3 linked regions of the Oreochromis niloticus genome follow. The protein of the gene in region 1 binds, or shares a complex with, the protein of each later gene. Links are inferred from orthologs where the notes say so. Each region holds a gene or a part of one and is shown on either strand. Other genes may lie near its edges.

Region 1 (7,810 bases):
ATTGCACCTATCTGATTACACCGTGTGTGCAGACTCCTCCCTTTATGGAGGGGATAACTTCAGGACAAGTGGAGGTTATCACATGTTTATATTTACAGCGCTTCCCTTCAAGTTTTGAACTTGACAGATAGTGAATGAAGGTTTAGATATTAAAGCTGGAAGTCTTTCTCTCAGTCTGCTGCCAACCACTTTCCCCCTGTGTGTGTCTCAGCTGTGTTTGTGCGATTTGTGCTTTTTGTGTCTCTTCTTCTTCTTGTCGTCTCTGTCACGCTCATGTTCTTGTCGCCTCCTCTTGGATTTACATTCACTGCTGCTGCTGCTGTCGCTCTCAGACTCCTTCCTCTCCCTCTTCTTACTCTTCTTCTTTGCTTTCTTTTCCTGGAGAATAAGCGTTAAAAACAAAGAAGTTGCACAAAAAAGCAGTTTCAATACCTAAAAACCCAAACACTGAAGTATGTTCCTCTTAAATCAGCACAAAATCATTTTTCCAGGCAACAGACTTCCAATGTGGTCACAACAGCATGTCATGCAGAGAGACATGTGGGGGTTGTTGCATCAGATGAAAGAGAAAGAGAGAATCAGCAAAGGAAAGTTAGAGCGGAAAAGGAAGCGAGAGCTGTGCAGGGCTTTAAAGGTCACATCGTCACCTTCTTTTTCTTCTTTTTGTCTGAATCTTGATTTTGTGCAGCTGTAGATGGTTGCTGCTCTGGCTCTTTATCGTCCTCTTCAGGCAAGAGAGCGTACTGCAGGCCAGGAGCAGAGAAACAGTCCTTTGTAAAGTGACCTGAAGAGAGTAATAATTTATTTAAGAACCGCGGTGTGAATTCAAGCAAATCAGCCATCTGTGTGAAACAAGCACAGTCTCTTTGACACATCACACTACTCATGATGTCACCTCACCCTTGCAGCCGCACTTTGAACACGTTGTGTTGAGCACAGCCTCCAGCGTGATCCTGTTGCTGGTTTGGTCTCTAAACTGCTTACGCCGCCTTGAATCCTGCCTATAAACACACACAGAGACGTTAACAACACACACACACCTGTGCAGACACATGAAAACACACAAAATGAATCCGTAAGCACTTACTCTGCCATAACATTGTTGGGGTCCAAGTCCCGCCCTGTTCCCTGATTGACGGCTTTCATGGAGAAAGACAGCTTCACCTTGTCACCCTGAATCTAATGAGCAGAGGAAGAAGCTGTAAACTTTCTGCTCAGTGTGTGTACTTCTGTGACTATCTTTATGAGAACCAGGTTGTATTTGAGACCACTGGAGTGGCAGTTTCTGACACCCTTTCATGTTTAAGGGTAAAGACGGGCTTTTAATGTAGCCTTTCTGGGGTTTGAAGCTGAAGAATACCTTCATTTAATGAATGTTGTCCAAAACGTGTGATATTGTTACCTCTCTCCCTATGACTTTAATCCACACATGTTCTCCCACATCCACAATTTCTGAAGCGCTCTCAACCCGGGAAGCTGACATCTCACTCACATGTACCAGACCTGTGAAAACAAAGGACAAAGCTCATTTACTTAGATATCACCTAAAATACATTTATAGTTTCAAAAGTCTTAAGCAAACCCTCATGTCTTTATATTTGGAACCAGACTTTCTTTCGTAATTTTTAAAACGGTCAAGAGCAACAGTTCTTCAGCCCTTTCTGAAGGCCAAATGCCACATTACACAAGAAGTGGATTGAAAATCAGTTGCAACAGGTCTTATTGAGTTATGAATCCAAAATTATTATTATTTTTTTTTGCTCATATCGTTGTCAGTATGTACAGAGGAGGTCATGAGAGAAGTACAAGAGTGTCTACAGCCATCTGTAAAACATGATACCAATGCAGCAAAAGCACACCTAGATAGGAAAACTTATAATGCAACACCATCAGTCATGGATTAGCCTCCCATGAGCTCAGATTTCAGCATTATTGAAACAGTGTGGGATCATCTTTACAGAGAATGGAACAAACAGCAGCCAACATCCAAAGAAGGACTTTGAATGTCCTTCAAAAAGCCTGGAGAACTATTCCTGAAGACTACCTAAAGAAATTACAAGAAAGTTAGGTAAGAGAGTTAAGGCTGTTTTGAAATATAAACGTGGTTATAACAAATATTAACTTTTGAGCTCATTAGAATACAAACTCTGTATTTCCATTCATGTTTGCACAGGTTTGAATAAATCACTGCACCCATTTTTCTCTTTCCCAGCAAAATATAAAGAAATAAGGAGTGCCTCAAGACTTTTGTACAGCACTTTATGGTCAGCATTAATGACCTACAGAAAAGGTTGACACATGAATACGTGTTGGATGACAAATGAAAACCCAAATACTAAATTAAGAATCAAACTTATTTCCGGCTGTTATCAAGCTTCAAAAACATTTGACCAACTAAATCATATAACTGTGGCTTAATCATTACATCTACTTCAAACCACTTTAACTGACTCACTTCAAAGGGAGTGTAATTTAAATGAAGCAAACAAGTTCTGTCCAAAACATTTTTTTAGGCTACAGGTTATTAAAGTGTGAGCACAAGTTGTTCAGTTCGCCCTCCAGTGGTGAAAATGAACAGCTGCTGTTTAACTGGACATGTAGGTCAAGGCCAAGCCACAATAAATCATACTTCATTATCAAAGAGGTAACCCAAGTGTAAATATAGATACGAGTCATCCCACTTCATCAACGTGTCCCACTTCTTATCAACCCCGCCCAAACCCATCCTCCCACACCTCCTGTCTGTACACACACATCTTCAATTTCTGTTGCTATGAAGATAACACAAATGAATTATAATAGAAGAAACTATGATTGTACTAATAAACCAAAAAGAAAAAAAAAGATTTAAACATAACAACAATGTGAAATGTCTTACTTTGACCTGTGTCTTTGAAGTCTTCCGGCCTTGTCTTCTTACTCACAGTGAGACAGTACACTAATTCAATTCAATTCAATTCAATTCAATTTTATTTATATAGCACCAAATCATACCAGCAGTCACCTCAAGGTACTTTGTATTGTGAAGTAAAGACGCTACAATAATAGACAGAAACCCCAATAATCAAATGACACATTAAGAGCAAGCATTTGGCACCAGTGGGAAGAAATCCCCAGCAGAGATCTCCAGACAAAACAACACTTTTTTTTTTTTCTTTCTCCTTTAACCTATTTTTCATCTGAATAATCAAATGTTTTCACTGACCTTCCTTCCTGTATCCTGGCAGTCGGACAAATGCTCCATAAGTTTGCACTGAAACCACCTCTCCTTTGGCAATGCTGTACAGTGGTGGCAAACCATCCAGCCCAGCCGGCTCTGATGTTCGGCGGTCACGGTCGGACATCGTCTCAAAACAGCCACGGTTACCAATAACTGAATCTTGCACTTGGATTCCCACAATCCCTGAAATGGCAGATCAGGTGCATTTATGATCTCTGTTTTAATCTTAGTGAGTTTAAACTCTGTTCGCTCAGAATAAACTAATTCTAATTTTCCAAAAGTTGAATCTGTTCATCTGGACGTAGCGTTTTGTGGGAGAAACGTTTCGTCACTCATCCAAGTGACTTCTTCAGTCTCAGCTGACCTGCAAACAAATTCTAATTTGTTTATTTGTAGGTCACATTCTTACATGGCGGGTACTTTTGCATTGTATTTGAATTTATACATCAGTTTTCTAGTCTTTATGACCACTTTAAACTACAAGCACGCTTTAACTATACATTCATGCAGCACTTTTAAGCACTTTATTCACCTCACAACCACAGCCAATTTAGAATCACATAACATGTATGTCTTTGGAGTGTGGCCAGAAGCCCAAGTACCTAGAGGAAACTTGACACCAAAAGGCCACTGCCAGGTTCTTTCCTGGTGTAAAGGCAACGGTTCTCACTACCCCATGATGATGGCATCCTATTTCAGATCTTGTGTCTGTGCCAAGGCACCCTCTGACCTCTGTATGACCTCAATATATGAATACTTCTATGCCGATTTATTATTCCATGAATGGAATGTACCATTTTAAAATTCCCTAAAACCAACATTTTCTGTTATTTAAACCACACTGGTGGATCTAAAATCCATCTGAATAGATACGACCTAGAACAGCCTCATTGTACAACACTATGAATTTTTAAACATTTTCATTTTCGTGTATTTTGGGTCACTTTAGGAAAAGTCATGAAATTTCATGCTAAAACAAAGACATATTTTTTTTTACTGAAGTCAAATGTCAACACAGTTCATTTGACCCTAACAGTATTCAAAGGCTAAATCTAAAAAGAGATTTTATTATGTGCACTGATTATTTTACCCCCACTTTAAACTCGCATGCTGACTTGCTATTCAGCCGTGTCATATTTTTGTACCTGAAAGTGATTTTTATGAGCTTCACAGCTGTGTTGAATCTCTTGGATAGCAATAAAAACCTATTAGACTCACTTTTTATCTCAAACACAAAAACTGAATGGAACAGCAGCTCCTCGGCTAATGTTAGCCACACTAAAGAGCTATAATAAATGAATAAACAGATATTGAATAAATAAAATATGAACAAGAAAATAGGCCCGCGCCTGCTTAACGTTCTAGTTTATACAAATAAATAAACATAACGTCATGCAGCAATAATTTAAGAGAAAATAATTTAAAAATGATATCAGCGTTACCTTTCGGATTGATACGATGGTTATTTTACATCCGGTTCAAAACGTTTCAACAACAAGCGAAGCGGCTAATCTGCTGCTCACAATCAGCCAATCATCTTAGCCTTTGCAAACCTCGACCAATAGTATTCCTCGCACTCACAGGAAGTACTTCTTCTGTGTTGATACGTTGGTGCTACTTCCTCCGACGTCTCGTATGAAAGACGTCCATTCATTTTTTGTAAATTGTAGCATTAAAGCTTTAGATTTTTGCGGATTTTTGTCCTGTAAAGATGATTGAGCCTATGAAGAGAGCGGCAGACATGGCGGTGGTTCCTTCCGCCGTGAAGCGGCCCCGGACGGAGCTGATAGCGGCGGCGCAGTCTCAGCAACTCGTGGCCACGGTACGGAGGGTAGCTGTTACTACAACCGAGAGGGGTGGCTACTGAAGTAGACTCAAACATTTAGAACAAGTAACCACACTATACTGTGTACGCTTTATGATTAATTATATATAAAGCCGCTTGGAAAAAAGTCACATTTTCCCTTTGTGGTGATTTTAGATTCATTATCTGGGCTGCCAGCGAGACAGATAAACATGAAAATAAAATTAGCACAGCATTAGCGCTCACTTTGATGCTTTTTACAATGTCTCCTACACCCAGCTGGATTTGGGTAAACTATTGTTGTTTAAAAAGAGTTTTTAAAGTGATCACAAAACATGTTCTTTTGTATTCTGGTTTAATGTTTTATCTTTTAAGGATAGAAACCCTCTCAGCACCATTGATAACACCAGCTCCAAAATAATGGGGGTCAGGCAAAGAGATTTGTGTTCACACTGAGAAACTCGGGTGATAAAGAAAGTAAAAGACATTATTAACTATCTTGACCACCATTTCTATTCTGAATTCAGGAAGTTACTCCCAGGTAACCCCTACTTTATATGTCAGTGTAGAACAAATAGATACTTAAAGTCTTTTATTCCTTTGGCTGTTAAATCACTTAACTCTGACATTTCGACTATTCAAGATGGGGCTAGGATTATGTCAGAGTTCGGCTCTGAACCCCTTTCTCGTTTGCAGTCTTGATGGACAGGCTGAAAGATGAGGCCAGGCAGGAGTCTCAGTAGACTATGATGTCTGCAGCCGATCTGTAGTGAGAGGAGGGAGCAGGGCGAAGACAGCCTGGTGAGGTGGAAGTATGTGGTGGAGAGAAGAGGAATGAAAGTCAGAAGACACAAAACAGAACACGTGTGTGAATGAGAGGGAGACACATCAAATTCCAGTCTGATGGGAGGTGTAACAGTGAAGGTATATGAGTTTACATAAATGGAATCAAACATCCAAAGCAACGCAAAGCATTAGAGAGGGGAAGAAGAGAGTGCAGCCAGGATGGAGTCGATGGATTGTGGAAGAACAGCAGCAGGAGGAAAAGGGAAGATGGCAATGAGACCTGCTGTATGTATGGTTTGGATGGTAGATGATGGCACTGAGAAATTGAAAACGCTCAGATTTACATTGGGAAGGACCAGAATGGACAATATTAAAGATGGTTGCATCAGAGGGACATTGCAGATTGAGTGGTTAGAGAGGGAGCTGAGATGGTTTGGACATGTGCAGAGGAGGGATAGTGGACACAATGAACAAAGGATGTTGAAGATGGAGGAAATAAGGAAGACCTCAGAGAAGATTCACTGATGTAGTGAAGGATGTCATGCAGAGGGTTGGTGTGACAGAGGAGGATGCTTGGGATGGAGTGAGATGGAGGCAGATGATCTTTGCAGATCGTCTTTATTCGCATTAAAACACCGGCATTGCATTAAATATGACCTTGACATTTGTTTTTGAGACTATTATAAAAAAAAAACAACACTTTGACCCACTTTCACAGTCCATATCTGATTTTATAATAAATTATAAATACAAGCTAAAAATGTCCAGTATGATTAAACCGGATAAGTTACCTGAATATTTATAAACAAGATATTCAAACCTTTAATCGTCTGCCTCCAGATGTATCAGTTCTTTCTCCAGTGCTTCTACCCTCCCAGGTCACCTGCCAGGACGCGTTTCTATACCAACAGCTGCCTTTGCATCCCGGCTTTTGTTCCCACAAAGAAAACTGATCAGGAATCAAGAAAGAATTGATAACGGTAGCCTCTCCGATACTATTTTTTTAGAACGAGGATGTAGACAGGGGTGTCCAGCAAGCCCTTACCTCTTCAACTTGTTTATCGAACCTCTAGCCCAGGCTATACGTCAGGAAACATCGTTGAAAGGGATTGTAATAGGAGGGGACGAGTACAAGGTGTGTTTATACGCAGATGATGTCTTGGTAACAATCACGGATCCCAGCTCAGGTATACCAGTATTAATGGGGATGTTGGAAACATATGGCCTGTATTCAGGGTATGTTCTTAATGTCAAAAAAACTCAAGTTCTGACATTTAATTTTTCTCCAGACCAGACATTATTGTCAAAATTCAAGTTTAATTGGAAGGCAACTGCTATCAAATATTTAGGAGTGTTTCTGCCTAAAGATCTAACACAACTGTATGATATTAATTACAGTCGTATTAATAGAGAAATATATAGCGATCTCAACATTTGGGCCTTGCTCCCTCTTGACCTTGGCAACAGGATACAGATAATTAAAATGAGTATTCTTCCCAAACTACTCTATCTTTTCCTTGCTTTACCTATTCAAATTCCAGAGAAGCAGTTCAGGGAATGGAATAAACAGATTTCGAGATTCATTTGGCTTAACAAAAGACCAAGGGTGAAGTTCTCTACTTTGCAGTTGCCGAAAGAAAAAGGGGGCTTGGCTCTACCTTCATTAAGGGATTACTACTTATCTGCTCAGCTGAGGTCTTTGGTGTGTTGGTGTAATCCATCTTTTTGTGCGAGGTGGAAGGCGATTGAGATGTCTCTTTCGGACACGCCAATCCAGTCTAGACTTGGTCACACAGCTTCTGAATTGGACGGTACCTTGACGCCCAGCCAATGGGTCACTTTTACATTAAAAATATGGAGGGGAGTGGTCAAGCAGGCACAACTACAGGAAGAGATAAAACTTCTGAGGTGGCCAGCGTATGACCCTGATTTTTTACCTGCTTCCCACGATAGTAGATTTAAACAATGGGTGTGCCATGGAATTACTGCTAGGTGTTCGG
Region 2 (7,919 bases), on another chromosome or scaffold:
GTGAGCTTCGGGAGATTTTCTTTGTGTACAAGCTGCGACCAGGCGTTTAGGCTCAAATCGCTTTGATGTCTTCAGGCCTGCAGTGCTGGGGAATTTAAACTTCCCTCAAATATGTTAAACATAAGGTAACAGGCCTGCTTTGAAAATGAAAGGAGTAAAAAGTACAGATATCCATGTTAAAATTTAAGGAGTAAAAGTTATAAGTTATCAGAAAAATAAAAACTCAAAGTGTAGGTACCTGAAAATTCTACTTAAGTACAGTAACTAAGTATTTGTATTTCGTTACTTCCCACCTCTGATGTCCAAGGGTTCTTGACTTCAAGTAGTCATTGACTGCAAAGGATTCCTAAACATAACATCATCTAAAATGATGTTAGTCTGTTTAATTTGAGACTGAAAATGGGTGCTGTGTATAAAAATTGATGTACTTCCTAGGGATGTTAACCTACTATTGATCATGTGAGTTGTCACATGAGCAAAGGTGTGAAAACATGAGTCATTCCCATCACCTGGCCGACAACTGAAACCTCTGTGAGACCTTGCCCCACCCCACCATCATGTGAGCTGTATGTCACTTAAATGTGAAGAGACTTAAACAGTGGATGCTGCAAGCCAGTCCACAAATGCAACACGGGAGGACAAGACTCAGTGGCACACCTGCAATACCTAAGAAAGGACACGCTTCCCAGGATGCCAGTGTTCACATTTTGGACAAAGACAATTGGTTTAAGAGAACAGTAAATGAGGCCATGTATGTCCACTATGATCGACCATCTTTGTGGGTTATGACTTCTCCAAGGGAACAGCCCTCCCTAGTGGTGCATGTCACCTGGGACTCTGCACCAGTTGTTCTATGAATGACAAAGCCTCTTGGATGATAAGTGAAACATCCTGAAAATATCTAAAGAAGTCAAATTGCCTTCTTTTTAAGCTCTCAATATTACTGGCCAGTAAGAAGTATTACTCACAGATCATCAGGTTTCTGCACACTTTGTGAAACACCCTTTTTCCACCTTATTCTTCAATGGTCAAGTCAGTCACCTGATCTCAGCCCAGCAGAGTGTGCTATTTAGTTATTAAATACAAAACTAAATGCATAAAGACCCACAAATAAGAAACAATTGGAGGAGACTCCAGTAAAGGCTGAGCAGAGCTTCTCAAAGGAGGAAACACAGCATATGGTGATATTGAGAGGATTTACTTAAGTAGAAGTACAAATAGTTTTGTTTAAAAAGTACTGATTCAACTTCTAGTAAAGTAAAAGAAAATCAATAAAATCTTTTTACAATAAATTGTTTTTACTTTAAATACCCATTTATTGAATACTATATATCATCTTCTTTCTGATATAAAATAGGTTTCTTTTCCTCCCTAACTGCTCTGTCACAAAACGAAGCTGCGATGGCCGGGAATCGAACCCGGGTCAACTGCTTGGAAGGCAGCTATGCTTACCACTATACCACCATCGCTATAAGCACATCTGGAATCGAGCTTCTGTTGTGTCGCCAGTTTATATGGTTGTATAAAAACAGCAGGAAGAAAAGAAGCATTAGGGCTGCTCAGTTAATCGAATTTTAATCTCGATTACGATCTGGGTTTTCAACGATCATTAAAAATGACTGAGCCGATTATTAGCACCTCCCTCGTGCTTTACTCTCGCGCTGCTCCGTGTGGCAAATCGAGCGCACCTCTCTGCGTTTCGAACACGCGTCACAACAATTAAGAGGACCCGAGGGAAGCTCGGAAAGCTAAGCAGAAGTTATTTGGAGAGGAGAGGATAATGGCTGCTGAAGAAAGAATGCCGTTGGTTGAAAAGAGAGGTAAAACGACTCCAGTGGTGTGGAAACCAATGTTCCCTCTAAGCTGCGCACGTGCGCAATTGCGCACTGCTGGCACGGTCTCTGCGCACAGAAAATCTGCGTTGCGCACAAAAAAAATCTAACCTGAATTGAAATTAAAATTAAAACTTTAACAATTCTGTTTTGCAGTGTTAGTCAGTAAGTGACTGGCTGCTCCTGTATGGGATTAGAACGATGCCACCTTATCCTATAGTCCAGCCAATAATGCGATTCACATTCGTATATACGCAGCCAATCAACGTTGTTGACAGGCTATGACAGCGTCCTTATGTGCCGACACCGGTGTTTTAGCTAGCAAAGCGGCGTGGCTGATGTGCAGAGAAGCCACATTAATGACAACGTGTACAACCATTGGAGATGTGAGCAGGACAGACGGAACAATTGACGGACTTTATACCAGTTTTTAAATTGTGTTGATAGGCCACGTAAAACCAGAGTTATGATAAAAATATCTGCAATGTTTGGTTTTCTTCCTGAATACTATCGTTGTTTATATTTACTGCGGGAAGAAATGGTAAAAACGGCGTTTTATAAGGAAAACGCTCGAAAGCACTCTCCGCCTGTGAGCAAAAACAAAACCAAAAAACCCCCCACCCTTTCCTATTGGTCAAAAAATGTACCATGTCGACCAATCAAAAAATGATTTGCCAACGTGGCATCTAGTTGTTAAGAAACGGGGGGAGTTTTAGGAGTGACGGCGGTGTTCTGAGATGTGAGAGATTTGAGACGTTTAGCGCAAATCTTGTGTAGTTAGTGTGTAGTCAGTGTGTAGTGTAGTCAATAGTTTTGTTGTGTGTGTCAGAACAATGAGGCGACTGCTGAATGTTACAGGTGTTACAGCAGTGATACAGCTCCTGTTGTCAGGCCTGCAGGTATCAGGCTGTTGTTCTCCTTTATCTCATATTGGACAGAAATTATTTTTTGGAGTGGCGCAAATAATTTGTGTGGCATCAGATTTGATGCAGAACAGCTGATTGTTCTGTAAATAGTTTGAAATGTTTATTTAAAAAAACGCCTTGGCTGCATTAAAAAAAATAAATAGCTGCAAAAAACTTTGTTGTTTGCCAAACCGAGTTACTTTTTTGAAGTAGTAACTATATAATTAATTGCCCAACATTGGTCATTATATACTGTATTTTGCAGACAGAGAGTTATAGGACTCTCTCCCAGACCACAGACTCATAATACAAGTCAGAGCTTTATGAAAAAAAAGAAAAGAAAGAAAGTTGTGTTTTCAAAATTGGAGTTCAAGTTATTTTTACTTCCAATAGTGTTAACATACTACACAGGTCATGAACAAGATTTTTTAAATTTTCATTGTAAGTGGGCTAAAGCAGTTAATTAAAAGTAGTCTAACATAAATGTAAATGCTGTAATTTGATTATTTTAATAAACCATGTAACTTGGATGGATTAGATGCTGGCGTGACCACAGTGCACACGTCTGATGTCTCACAGTGGTCCAAGGCAGCGGTCCCCAACCTTTTTTGCGCCACGGACCGGTTTATGCCCGACAATATTTTCACGGACCGGCCTTTAAGGTGTCGCGGATAAATACAACAAAATTTAAAATTTCCAGTTTATCAAATACCCCTGAGCAGTACTTGCCTTTTGGTATTCTTCCTGTCCTCTCTTCCTTACATTGTTCTCCATCTCTGAGTGAACTTAACTCTTATTCTTTTCTCTTTTCTCCCAGTTTTACCATTAGCAAGTGTGTGTTTGTGTGTTGAGCTTTTAGAAATTTTGCGTTTGAACTGACCTGCCGCAACACGTTCTTCCTTTTATGCTCCTCTTTAGTAGTGCTAGCTAGATGCTGAAGTACCGTGAAGACTACGTCATTGTCGGGGGCCTTTTAAACCCGAGCACACTGCTATAAATAACGCAGAAACTATATGTTTTTGCCTCTTTCATCTCTGTATGCAATGGAGTGATGGATACACCAACAGGGTTGTATTTTATGTGTTATTAATCCCTCCGTTTAGGCTCAAATCGTTTTGATGTCTGAAGGCCTGCAGTGCTGGGGAATATAAACTTCCTTCAAATATTTTAAAAATAAGCTAATGGGATTGTACGGAAGAGGATTAGGGCCACTGGGAAAAAAAGTGCGCAGGTCTTTTTTTTTTTTCTTCTTTTCCAGAATTCTAAGAAAAAAGTCAACTGTTTACAGTTGTCTTGTTTTCAAGCTCTCAGTATAACTGGCCAGTGCTTTTCCTACCTTTAAACCTACACACACAAAAAAAGAAGTATTACTAATGGAAATGGGGCTTACTCACAGAACTTCACATTACTACACACTTGGTATTATGATATAGTAAACCATATGACAACATTATTTTTCCTGAATGTTCTTCCATAACTGTTCTAAAAAACTAAACAGTGATTTAATGTGTCCTCCCATACAGCTGAAAGTCTTTCTGTGCCTCTCTATGTTCAAAGATTTAACAAATAAGGTATTCATGTAAAAACAAATTTAAAAAAAAAAAAAAGTGTTTTTAAAATATAAAGTCAAACCTTTGGGTTGATTAGTCAAATAAATTTTGTGTATGGTATCTGGAAATTTTGAAAATTCCCACTTGCTCAGCATCCCAAAACTTCAAGGCACTCAGAAGTAAGTAAAAACTTCAGGATGCTAAGTGAAAATTTTCACATATGCAACTCTAAACTTTGAGTGATTAAGTAAATAAACTAAGATTTATTTATTTATTTAGATATTTAGATTTATTTAGATAAATAAAGCTTTGTTTTGAAGCTCAATATTCCCTTTTAAACCACAACTGAGGACCTTGAAAATAAAAAAAACCCAGAATGAAACAATAAATGAACAAATTTCATGTGTACACAAGGCCCTGTGTGTTTGTTTTACTTTATTTTATACACTTTTTTTCTTGTGTTACAACTTTATTTATAAATATTAAATTCTGAAATAAAGTTAAACTGGAAAAGAAAAAATAACAACAAAAACAGTAAACCAAACTTCACAAACTGCGTTTATTGTGAAATCCGGAAGCGATCTGTCACCCGGAAGTAATGTTGGTTATTATAGGAAGTTTTCCGCCAGACGAACGACAGTGATTTAAGGAAAGCCGGGAAATTGTATGGTAAGGACATTAAAACCCAAACAAAGCAATTTAGCTCGACAGACCTTCTGTCAAAGTACGAAGGAAATAAAATCTTAAAGGTTTTAGTGACAGCAATTAGTAGCGAGAAGCTTAGATCGCAATAGCCGAGACAGCATTAGCACACAAGCTAACTTTAGCTCAGCTTAACACACATGGCGATAAAACTGAGGAGTTGATTTGAAAAGACGTTTTAGTAACGCGTGGTGTTGCTGTTTCAAGAACCTTCCCAAAATATGTTTATTCGGCTATTAAGACGTACAAACTTGATCATTTGGTAATATTTACCTCAGGAAATGCCCAGTTACCATATTGTTACCTCTTCCGTCCGTTGGCAATGATAATTTTTGACTCTGTTCGGCGATTAAACATTACCAGGAAGTCATCATCCCTCTTATTTTATCGTTAATCACTCACAAAACGCTTAATAAACAGTAAGTGTATCCTTTGCTCTGCATTGAGTATTGGTGATTTAATGTAAAGTTTATCCGGAGCAGACTAATGTCAAATCAACAAGTCTGTAAACAGTCCTTCGTAGAAATACGTGGATCGTGTCAGAGAACCATGTCAGAAAGTTATTAAATCTTATTAACTCATTTACATGTTTTTTTTTTTTCTTTTTTCCTAATGTAACGGGGTTTGTGGAAATGCATTTTACCTATCAAAGTGAATGTCTTAGTTGTCTTCCCCCCCCCCCCTTCCAGGTATGGACTCTGCAGACAGAAGTCGAAGTCCCAGTCCTGCACAGAGAGAAAACAGTGGTGAGTAAATGCTGCTGTGAACCCTACACTTAATGTTCTTGTAATAAGAGTTGCTTTAATCTCCATCCGTTATACTTGAGCAATACGATGTTGCAATCGTTAGCTGTCACCTCACAGCAAGAAGGTTCTGGGTTTGAGTCCAGCAGCCGGGTCTTTCTGCATATTTTCTTTGTACCCCTTGCTGGGAACTCTGGTGTGCTTTCACCTGTTAGTCCTGATTTAGATTTCTGCGGTGAATCTTTGTAGAGCTAACGACATAATTTACGTGTTGTGTTTGTGCTGGTGCATTATGTCTAAATTAATGTGTGGGTCTGTGTACATGTTTTTCATTCAGTACCAGTTGATAGAAACAAATAAAATGCACGGACCTTTTCCCTCCAGTTTTGTAGTGGTCAGTTTTTTTTAAAGGCAAATATATTTGTCTCAAGTTTTTCATCTTCTTTGTACATTCCCACACGTCCATTTTAATAGTTTTGGCAGTTTCTCCTCAGGAATTTGCTGACATTTGTGAGTCCTTATATTGATGCTATAATTATTATCTGTTATGTTGAGATGATGATTGTTATTCTCTCACTGATAAATTCAAAAACTGCTGTGAAAAAGTAGCCTGAAATGCATGAGAAGAATCTATTGGTGCAACATGTAATTAGGTTGCACTGTAGGGTGCACGGTATGAATGGTAACAGAAACAGCGTTTTTGTGGTTAGCTGGTGTCCATTTTATTTGTTTAGTTGTTTGACTGTCCTTCACCTACGTGGCCACCAGGCATATGGGTTAACAAGTTTCGCAAAGTTTGCGGTTATGGCGTAGCTATTGAATAGTCATAGTCCAAAGCATAAGTCTCCGGTTAGCCCTGTGAGAGACTGGTGACCTGTTCGATGTCTACCCTGCCTTCTGCCCCACAGTATCCCTAAATTGAGTAAGTGGAAGAAGAAGGATATGTTGAATGGATATACTAATACTGCTCTTGATCTATTTTTCTCTCTGCAGGACCTTCAGAGAATGACTCTAGTCCAGCATCAGGCAGACCCCAGCAGGCTGGCTCAGTTGAAAGAAGCCCCAATGAGCGACGGTCCCCACAGCCAAGTCCTGTGGGCCGCAGGCCCTCCAGGAGCCCATCCTCAAGCAGTTCAGACAGCACCAGCAGCAGTGATGAGGATGAACATCATTCAGCACTGAGAAAGATTCGAAGCAGCGTGGCTCAGATCAAAGTAAGAAATGTGGCTTTTACTAGTCTGTCACATTTCATAATGTACAGACTACTGCGGTAGAAATGGAAGAATCAGATGCTTTCAGACAGTTACAGAGGGTGAAACATATGCTGAAAGCCTTTTTTTATATTTATAAATATATATATTGTATATTATAATTCCTCATCAATCAAAAATGTTGAGTTTGGAGTGAGAAATGCCATTAATAGTAGGTGGAGTAAGTAAGTTGATTTCCCCAATATATACCGAACAATAGTTGAGATTCACAGTATTAATAAAAATGATCCGGCCAAAACAAGAAATTCAGAAACACCAAAATCTTAAAAAGTTAATGCAGTCAGATGCATTGGTAACTGGAGTTTAGTGATCCATGTTATGTTTTAGATACTGTCCAAAGAAGAGTTCAGGAACTGACAGTATTCATTCAGTTGATGTATTTTTGTGTGGAAATGTGAACTGAAGCATTTTGTTACTATTCTTGCCTAAAAATGATCTTGAATGTCAGAATAGTTTTGAATAAAGTACCTGAAGAAGAAGCGTATTTACTTAGTGTTTTTTCATGTTGTGCTTTTAAGACATGATTATGTTGCATTTGAAAATGTGGCTGTGCATTAGTGTGCACATTGCACAGTAGATTATTCAGGCTGCAGTTCTGGACAGCTGGTGTGAAAAACTGCTTGGTCTGAAGAGATGGTTACCATGAGAACAGGACCCAGTTTAAGCTTGAGGCACCGATGTAAGACACAGTAGCATGTTTAATGTCAGCTGGCCTGATTTATGAGTGCACCCAGTGAAGAAGACACTGAATAAAGATTTAACTTGTTGACTGACAGAATCACAAATCAAAGAGGACTTTGTTTCCATTACTGTCAACTTAGACACGAGCTCCCCAGGTGCATACAGGCTTTTACTTGATGCAGGACCTGAGGCAGACCGACTTCATATTGCTGGGTTGTCTCTCTTTTTCAGTTGA
Region 3 (7,326 bases), on another chromosome or scaffold:
CACTGCTTTAGCTGGTATGGAAGGTGCTTGTAAAAGGGTGCTGGCACTGAAGCTCCTCCCCTCTCTGACTACTGCTGTTTGCTGTGTTGTGGCGAATAAGAAGCTGTTTGTGGGCAGCTTGAGGGCACTGACAGAGGGGTGGGACTCACCCAGGCTTTGCTGCTGCTTAGCTTCTGTGAATAGAAACCAAAATATGAACAGAGAACCCTGCTTGTATATATAAAGTGTAAAAATTTCAACAGTTAAATTTTACATTCAGGTTATGTGCTGTGATATCTCAGGACTAGGGGAAATAACTTGCTGTAATCAAACCAGACTATTCTACTTTGACGCTTTTTTAAGAGCTCAGTGAGCTGTTTAAGTACAGCCAGTTTTTTCAATAGATTAAAATCATATTGAGAAAACTGGCTGATTGAAAGCAAAAAACATGAGAATTTGATGTATAGGTGGCAGTACTCCTAACACACCTTCATACTGTCTCGCTAGGTCTTTCACCAGCATGGAGAGGTAACAGTGGCTGGCTGAGTGGAGAGCTTTCACCCAGCTCTCTTGACCCTGGCGATCTACTGCTGCAAATCTGTAGGTTTTGAGTCCAGGCCCAAACACCAGGGAGAAGGTAAAATGTCCATCGGTCTCCGAGTGCTGAACAGCACACCCTTCCAGCACAATGACACCCAGCAGGTGTCTGTCAGCTGGGCGCTCCTGGTAAAAAAGCAAGTTTGCCTTCAGGACAAACCACCGCCGGTGATAGGTGTCATTTCGGTTTTTCTATGGGGACATTTGAGATAAATAAAGTCAAACAAAAAGATTGTATTTGCACATGAAAAGTGATTTCACATTGTTTATGATGTATATCATCTCAAACCTTTTTGTTGAGATATCCCTCTTTATCCACTGGAGATGTGCACGAGAGGTAATGGGTTAAAATCTTCTCATGAAGCTTCATCACAACAACTGAAAAAGAGAGAGCGCTGATAATAATAATAATGATAATACATTTTATTTAAAAATAGCGCCTTTCAAAGCACCCAAGGACATTGTACAATGAATAAAAACACAAAAACTGGAAATATACACAGAAATAAGAATAACAGATAAAAGTTACAGAGGTTTAGACATAAGCAATTTTAAACAGATGAGTTTTGAGAGTGGACTTAAAAAGAGAGAATGAACTAATATTTCTGAGGTCAGGGGGTAAGGAATTCCAAAGCCGAGGGGCAGAGCAACTAAAAGCCCTGCCCCCCATTGTAATCAGACGAGCGGAAGGAACAGAGAGAGAAAGAGAAGATGAAGATCTGAGGCACCGGGATGGGAGGTTCATCTGTACTAAATCAGAGAGGTATGGTGGAGAGAGAGAATGAATAGCCTTAAATGTATAAAGGATTATTTTAAAATGGATGCGAAATTTAACCGGGAGCCAGTGAAGCTGCTTCAGGATTGGGGAGATGTGGTGGGTAGAAGAAGTCCTAGTAATAATACAGGCAGCAGAGTTCTGGACACGTTGAAGCTTGTTAATAGATTTTTGTGTGAGACCAAATAATAATGAATTACAGTAATCAATCCGAGAGATGACAAGATTATGGATGAGAATGGCAGTGGCATGAGGAGTGAGGAAAGGGCGGATGCGATTAATGTTACGGAGTTGAAAATATGCTGCACGTGTAACATTATTGATATGTGAATTAAAGGATAGTGTGCTATCGAGAATGACACCCAAGCTTTTCACAGAGGGAGAGATAGGGACCAACGAGTTATTGATAGTGAGAGAGAAATCGTTAATTCTGGATAATAATCGTTTAGTGCCGACCAGGAGAAGTTCTGATTTATTGCTGTTGATTCGGATGATATTTATACCAAAATCTGCACTAGATGTAACAAACACATGACAGAAGAGTGACACGGCAAAATATGCATGGCCCTTAAATTACTGTACTTGTTTTATGTGTGTCAAAGCAAGGATTTTAAAGCACTAAATGGATTTGTTGGTATGATACAAAACATCCATGAAACTTAAAAAGTAAAGGCAGGTGTTCAAGAAAAGAAATGTAAATTAAAATAAAAATGAAAAAATACTTGATGAAAATTATGAAAAGTATGTGTACTAATAAAACTAACATCAGTTTTCATCATTGTCAGGCTAGTTACATTTATTAACATGACCTGCCTGATTTTACACAAGGCTTTAATTTTTCTACATGACTGTGAGTCGACCGCATCCACAAAGTGTTGTGGATGTAGCAACATTTTGAAACAACAGAAAAAGCTAAAAAACGGACTCAAAACTAAATAAATAATTTGAAAAAATTAAGCAATGATATTTCAGGTCATCAGAGTCAAGCTTACTCTGTGTTCCTCATTACAGTGAAACCAAGCAAGACAGATTTTATCTTCTGTTTCTAGTGAAACAGTCTGCTAATATTAAAAGTGTACAGATTATTTAACTTTAATGGGTTTGTGTACCTTTAACTTTTTGCTTTTGATTTTAATGTCTTTTAAATGTGATTTGAATGAATTTTAAGCCATTTAAGCCACGCTAAATAATCTCGCCATGTCATGTCACAGAGGAACCAAAAAACTGCAATACTTGCATATATAGCAGTAAAAACTACATCCAACACAGTAAATTTATTACTGCTGTAGTGCTGTGTTCATACTGCTATTTTAACCATTATGAGCTTTTTCTATAAGTAAGTTACAGTCACGATGAAAACAGGTGTATAGCTGTGCAGCTAAATTGTATCTACCATAATCCGACAGTTTTGTCTAGTAACTATAAACAACAGTGACATAATAGAAAACGGTGACTCAGACTTACCCCTGCCAATGATAAATCGCTCACAGGGTCAGTTTGCCCTCTCGCGTGGACTTTACCTTAATTACATTCGCACATATTTTCTTTTGATTCTTGTCATTCCTGATCGTGAAGCCGATTGTTCTCCTCCAGATCCAGACAATGTTTGAATGTATAGTTTCAGGTTACTACCACCGGTTCTCCCTCATGAACAAGAGGACGAGCGTTGAAATATAAATAACTCGACCCACTTCCTGGTAACAAAACCCTGGTAACATTATATTCTCTCGCCTCTGCGCTTGAGTCTGCTTTGAGCTGATGGGTCATACACCGGCAGTTGAAACCAACCTTCCTGACAAGAAGTGCTACCTGGAAGTGAGATGCTTAGCCCTCTCACTTCTGCATTTTGTGTTACTTGATCTAAACTTAATATCAGTTAAGTTTAGATCAAGTCTCTCATTGTATGTGTAGCAAATGTCCCTTGATTCTTGAGCTTTCTTCAGAAAAAGTTAATATTTATCCATATATTTAAAAGCAGAAAAACATTAAATGACCTCCTGAAAATGTGGCTCGTCATTTCTTTGCTTGTGTCTATTTTTGACATCCACTTATCCTTTTTATCCTTATGGCCCTCAGAGAATTTAGAATCTAAAAGGCTCCAACATGTAAAGACATCCAAGGCCTTATACACTGAGGAGCCCTTTCTTGGTATATGTCTTATATACTTTGGATATTCATCGCTGCCTACTGTATTTTTGTCAGTGCCACCATCTTCACATCATGGCATCTCTCACTACCACCTTGTAAATCTTTCTTGCTGCTTTTTTTTTTCTGTTACTCATCAGCCCTCACACTTGTATCCACCAACACTCCCCTGCCTGCACTCTCTTTTTCACCTCTTTAGAGCGTTGTTGTTTAGTTTGGATGGTTGATCTACTTTCACTACCTCTAGCATTTGCAGCTTCACTGTTACACCCGCCTCTGATTCACACACATGTATTCTGTCTTGCTTCTACTGACTTTCACTATTCTCCCATCTCATGCATTTTCTTCCTTCATCACCACCTCTAAGTCTAAGAACTTTCTCTTTACTCATTAGTACTTTTCTATCTCTATCTTTAACAACTAAATCCTATCCAGCTCGACCTCTCTGCCTAACCAATCGTTACAAGTTCTTTTCTCCTTTCTTAGTGTCCAGCCTCACACACAACTCACTATATACGTCTGTAATACACGTATTTCTGAAATATACAATCCAATTTCCCCAAAGTTGATTCTGTTCATCTAGCTTTATCAGTGGATGATTCAGTGATTCAGTGAACAGAATCAATTTTGGGGGATTTTTACTTACCTGGATGATTGAGCATGCATCGAGACAATACAATACAATTCATACTCCTCGTCAGCTGGTGGCGGTAGTGCGCCTTATCATTGTTTGTTAACGACAAAGTGAAAACATGAAAAGAAGAAACTGAGTCGAAAACGAACGTCGTTTGAATAATTTTCGGTAGGTTTTTACATCATTTTACAGCAAAACATTACTTTAATAGATTCCTTTTCATATTTCACCTATTGCGTGCAAATATTATACTCAGTAAGTGTTATTTCACCTCTACAAAGGCGTTTTGAGATGTAGTATTTGTTTTGCATGTGGTTTGTAGCTCATGTTTTTGGCTAACATGTTAGCCACAGAGCTAACCCGAGTTGCATGTTCACGGCTAATTATTACAGCGTTACAGGGTTACGCGCCTTAAAAGTTTAATAAAACTGCGCAAGTAACATCACAGCTCACCTTCAGTTGTCGCACAGGAATAAAACAGTCACTGTTTTTCCTCCTGTAGCACCATGTCGAAAAGAAAAGTAACATTTGAGGATGGCAACGGTGAGTTTGACCTCGAAGACGATGTCCCGAATAAAAAGGTAATGCTGTCTTCTTTACACGGTTATTTAAAAAGTATAGACTGCTGTGGTGGCAGAGGTTAGCAATAATTATTTTGTAGTGCAATTAGATTCTTACTAGTTGTTTACAGCCAAGCATCACACACGTACTTTCGATATCTCCAATGTTAAAATGGCACAATAATGCGCAAGTATAAGTCAGTTACCGAAATTTAGTATTTGTCATTGTCATGGATACAGTTGTGTATATAGTCAATAATAATAGAAAGATTGTGGCTGATGCTGACACATACTTTCGTAGAGTGAAACAATCTGATGTCATCATATTGGCCTGTATTCATCTATTATGTATTTAGTGTATTGAAAAACGCAAATGTGTGGTCATTGTTTAGCAATGTAACAGCTTTTGATGTAACAAACTAGTTAGCAACATGTTCTAAAGAGACAGCTTAACGCCACATAAGCATCTGTACCAGAGATGCTCAAAGCAAATGCAAAGCTGCAGATGTTTACGTACAGTCAGGGCATGCATCTCATGCTAAATTTGGGCTTTTAACGACTTTTTTTGAGGTGTTCTTTCCCAGAATGGAATTATTGTACAGCATATATCATTGAGACTTTAAAAAACAAAAAAATAATTTGGAATTTGTCTAATCCATGCAGGGTCATAAGTGTACATGGCTGGCAGTTTGAAGTGTCACTCAGTCTGTGACTTATAGTGCACATCTGTATTCAACGTCTGCTGGACTGTCTCTTTATTAATTTAATCCTTCTCCAGTTCACACATACTTTTAAGCCCAGTCTGAATACTTTGAAGGGATTTATTCATAAAATGAATAAAACAAACTGTGATTTAAAAAGCAGCCAAAAGTACTTGGTGATGGCAGTTTCAGAGAAAGGCATAAACACTTCACAGTGTGATAGCAGTTTGGCAGGGTATTATCTGTCAAGCCCCATGGTGTGAGCACACATTTATATATCAGTCATTTATAGTTCATAGTCATCCTAAAAACACAGATGCATTGTATAAGCAAATAACTCTAGTAAAGACTATACTTGGTGGCCTAAGAATTAAATTTGATCACAGCAGAAGCAGCATTAACTGAGAGAGTTTTTCGTGTACTTTGGCACTGTTAATAAAATGTTAGAGCCTTTTTATCCTTTTTTTTTCTTTATGATCATTTTTGAGACGAAACCATTAAAAGCAAACTACTCTGTGTGTGTGTGTGTGTGTGTGTGTGTGTGTGTCTGTTTTGTTTATTTTTCAAGAACAAGTTGATGAAATAAGAGTAGTCAATATATCTTTATTTTTTTTAATTTTATGTCATTTCAGTTCACTTGGTGAAATATTTGTGTTATTTTTCTTTTTCTTCTACTCTTAAAATAGAGTTGTGAAGCTGTCAGCGGACCAGGCTCCAGGTTTAAGGGTAAACATTCCCTCGACAGCGATGAAGAGGATGAAGGAGAAGACACAAACAGCAGCAAATATAATATTTTAGACAGTGATGATGTTGAGGGTATGTTGATTATTTAAGCTGTATCTGTAACTCTTAAGTGGTCTTGGTTACTCTTCACATGTTTATTTCCCCCACACTGAGTCAAATTTAGAGCGATTTCTTTAAAGGGACAGTTTGTTTTCTTAGAATTGGGATTTTATGAGATATTATGATCCCTTTTATTTCCCCCTGGAATGTTTTGCATATAGTAGAGGTAGTGCCACTTTGGAAAAGTAATTGCTGAAGGGGATAACATATCTTAGGTCTGTTAAGTTGACAAACATTTTTGGCCAAATGAGTTTTGGTTGACTGGTGATTTCAGTGTGTCTTTGTCAGCTGAACAGATACAGAGACACATCATACAGCCTCATGTTATCTGAGCAAATTTTTGGAGGATTCACTAGAGCATTGCCTTGTTTTACTTGGCCTTCATGCATTGGTCGTAGTGTCTTTTTAGTTAGTTGTGTTGCTTTAAAGTGCAGACACACAGCACTCTTTGTATATAACTTCTACTTTGTTAACAATAGTTGCTAAACCCAAAGCATTTCGAAACACCAAATGATGAGTCACTCTGAGGGACAAGCGCTTCACCTTCTGCAGTGCCAGACAGTTTATTTGGCACTGCATGTCTTTTTCCATAGTGTTAGTCATCCAGACTACATCTAGAAAATTTCAGTTTGTGTGGTACATTCACACATGTGGTTAGGTACTCAAGGTTTTAACTGTTGGAGCATGTATTCTGAATATCACATGATTGTACTCATTTAATTGTGGGAATCCAAAGTCCTGATCAAGATTATACAGGGTGGGCCATTTATATGCATGCACAATAATAAAATGGGAATGGTTGGTGATATTAAAGTCCTGTTTGTGGCACATTAGTATATGTGAGGGGGCAAACTCCTCAAGATGGGTGGTGACCATGGTGGCCATTTAGAAGTCGGCCATCTTGGATACAACTTTTGTTTTTTCAATAGGAAGAGGGCCATGTGACACATCAAACTTATTGGTAATGTCACAAGAAAAACAATGGTGTGCTTGGTTTCAACGTAACTTTATTCTTTCATGAGTTATTTACAAGTTTCTCTTTGTTCACAGCCATTGACATGTCGAAGGGGTTAACACGTGAGGAGCGGATCG

What was found.
Region 2: snrnp40 (region 1) and cwc22 share a complex: the UniProt entries of both Homo sapiens proteins name them as parts of the minor spliceosome. The link is inferred for Oreochromis niloticus from reciprocal best matches to the Homo sapiens genes SNRNP40 and CWC22.
Region 3: snrnp40 (region 1) and cd2bp2 share a complex: the UniProt entries of both Homo sapiens proteins name them as parts of the U5 snRNP complex. The link is inferred for Oreochromis niloticus from reciprocal best matches to the Homo sapiens genes SNRNP40 and CD2BP2.

Annotation. Positions count from the first base shown.
Region 1 is NC_031985.2:22,356,285-22,364,094, forward strand, and holds the start of snrnp40 (U5 small nuclear ribonucleoprotein 40 kDa protein), read left to right. Parts: upstream 1-4,810; 5' UTR 4,811-4,931; coding exon 4,932-5,042; intron 5,043-7,810. Other genes in the region: zcchc17 (zinc finger CCHC domain-containing protein 17), read right to left, coding at 208-378, 648-784, 901-1,001, 1,088-1,179, 1,403-1,503, 3,206-3,344. UniProt on the Homo sapiens protein: Required for pre-mRNA splicing as component of the activated spliceosome. Component of the U5 small nuclear ribonucleoprotein (snRNP) complex and the U4/U6-U5 tri-snRNP complex, building blocks of the spliceosome.
Region 2 is NC_031987.2:24,052,893-24,060,811, forward strand, and holds the start of cwc22 (pre-mRNA-splicing factor CWC22 homolog), read left to right. Parts: upstream 1-4,862; 5' UTR 4,863-4,956; intron 4,957-5,678; 5' UTR 5,679-5,680; coding exon 5,681-5,735; intron 5,736-6,725; coding exon 6,726-6,946; intron 6,947-7,919. UniProt on the Homo sapiens protein: Required for pre-mRNA splicing as component of the spliceosome. As a component of the minor spliceosome, involved in the splicing of U12-type introns in pre-mRNAs. Promotes exon-junction complex (EJC) assembly.
Region 3 is NC_031969.2:29,120,858-29,128,183, forward strand, and holds the start of cd2bp2 (CD2 antigen cytoplasmic tail-binding protein 2), read left to right. Parts: upstream 1-4,269; 5' UTR 4,270-4,385; intron 4,386-4,583; exon of another isoform or gene 4,584-4,632; 5' UTR 4,633-4,636; coding exon 4,637-4,711; intron 4,712-6,077; coding exon 6,078-6,207; intron 6,208-7,326. Other genes in the region: pheta2 (sesquipedalian-1), read right to left, coding at 1-173, 468-768, 866-946. UniProt on the Homo sapiens protein: Involved in pre-mRNA splicing as component of the U5 snRNP complex that is involved in spliceosome assembly.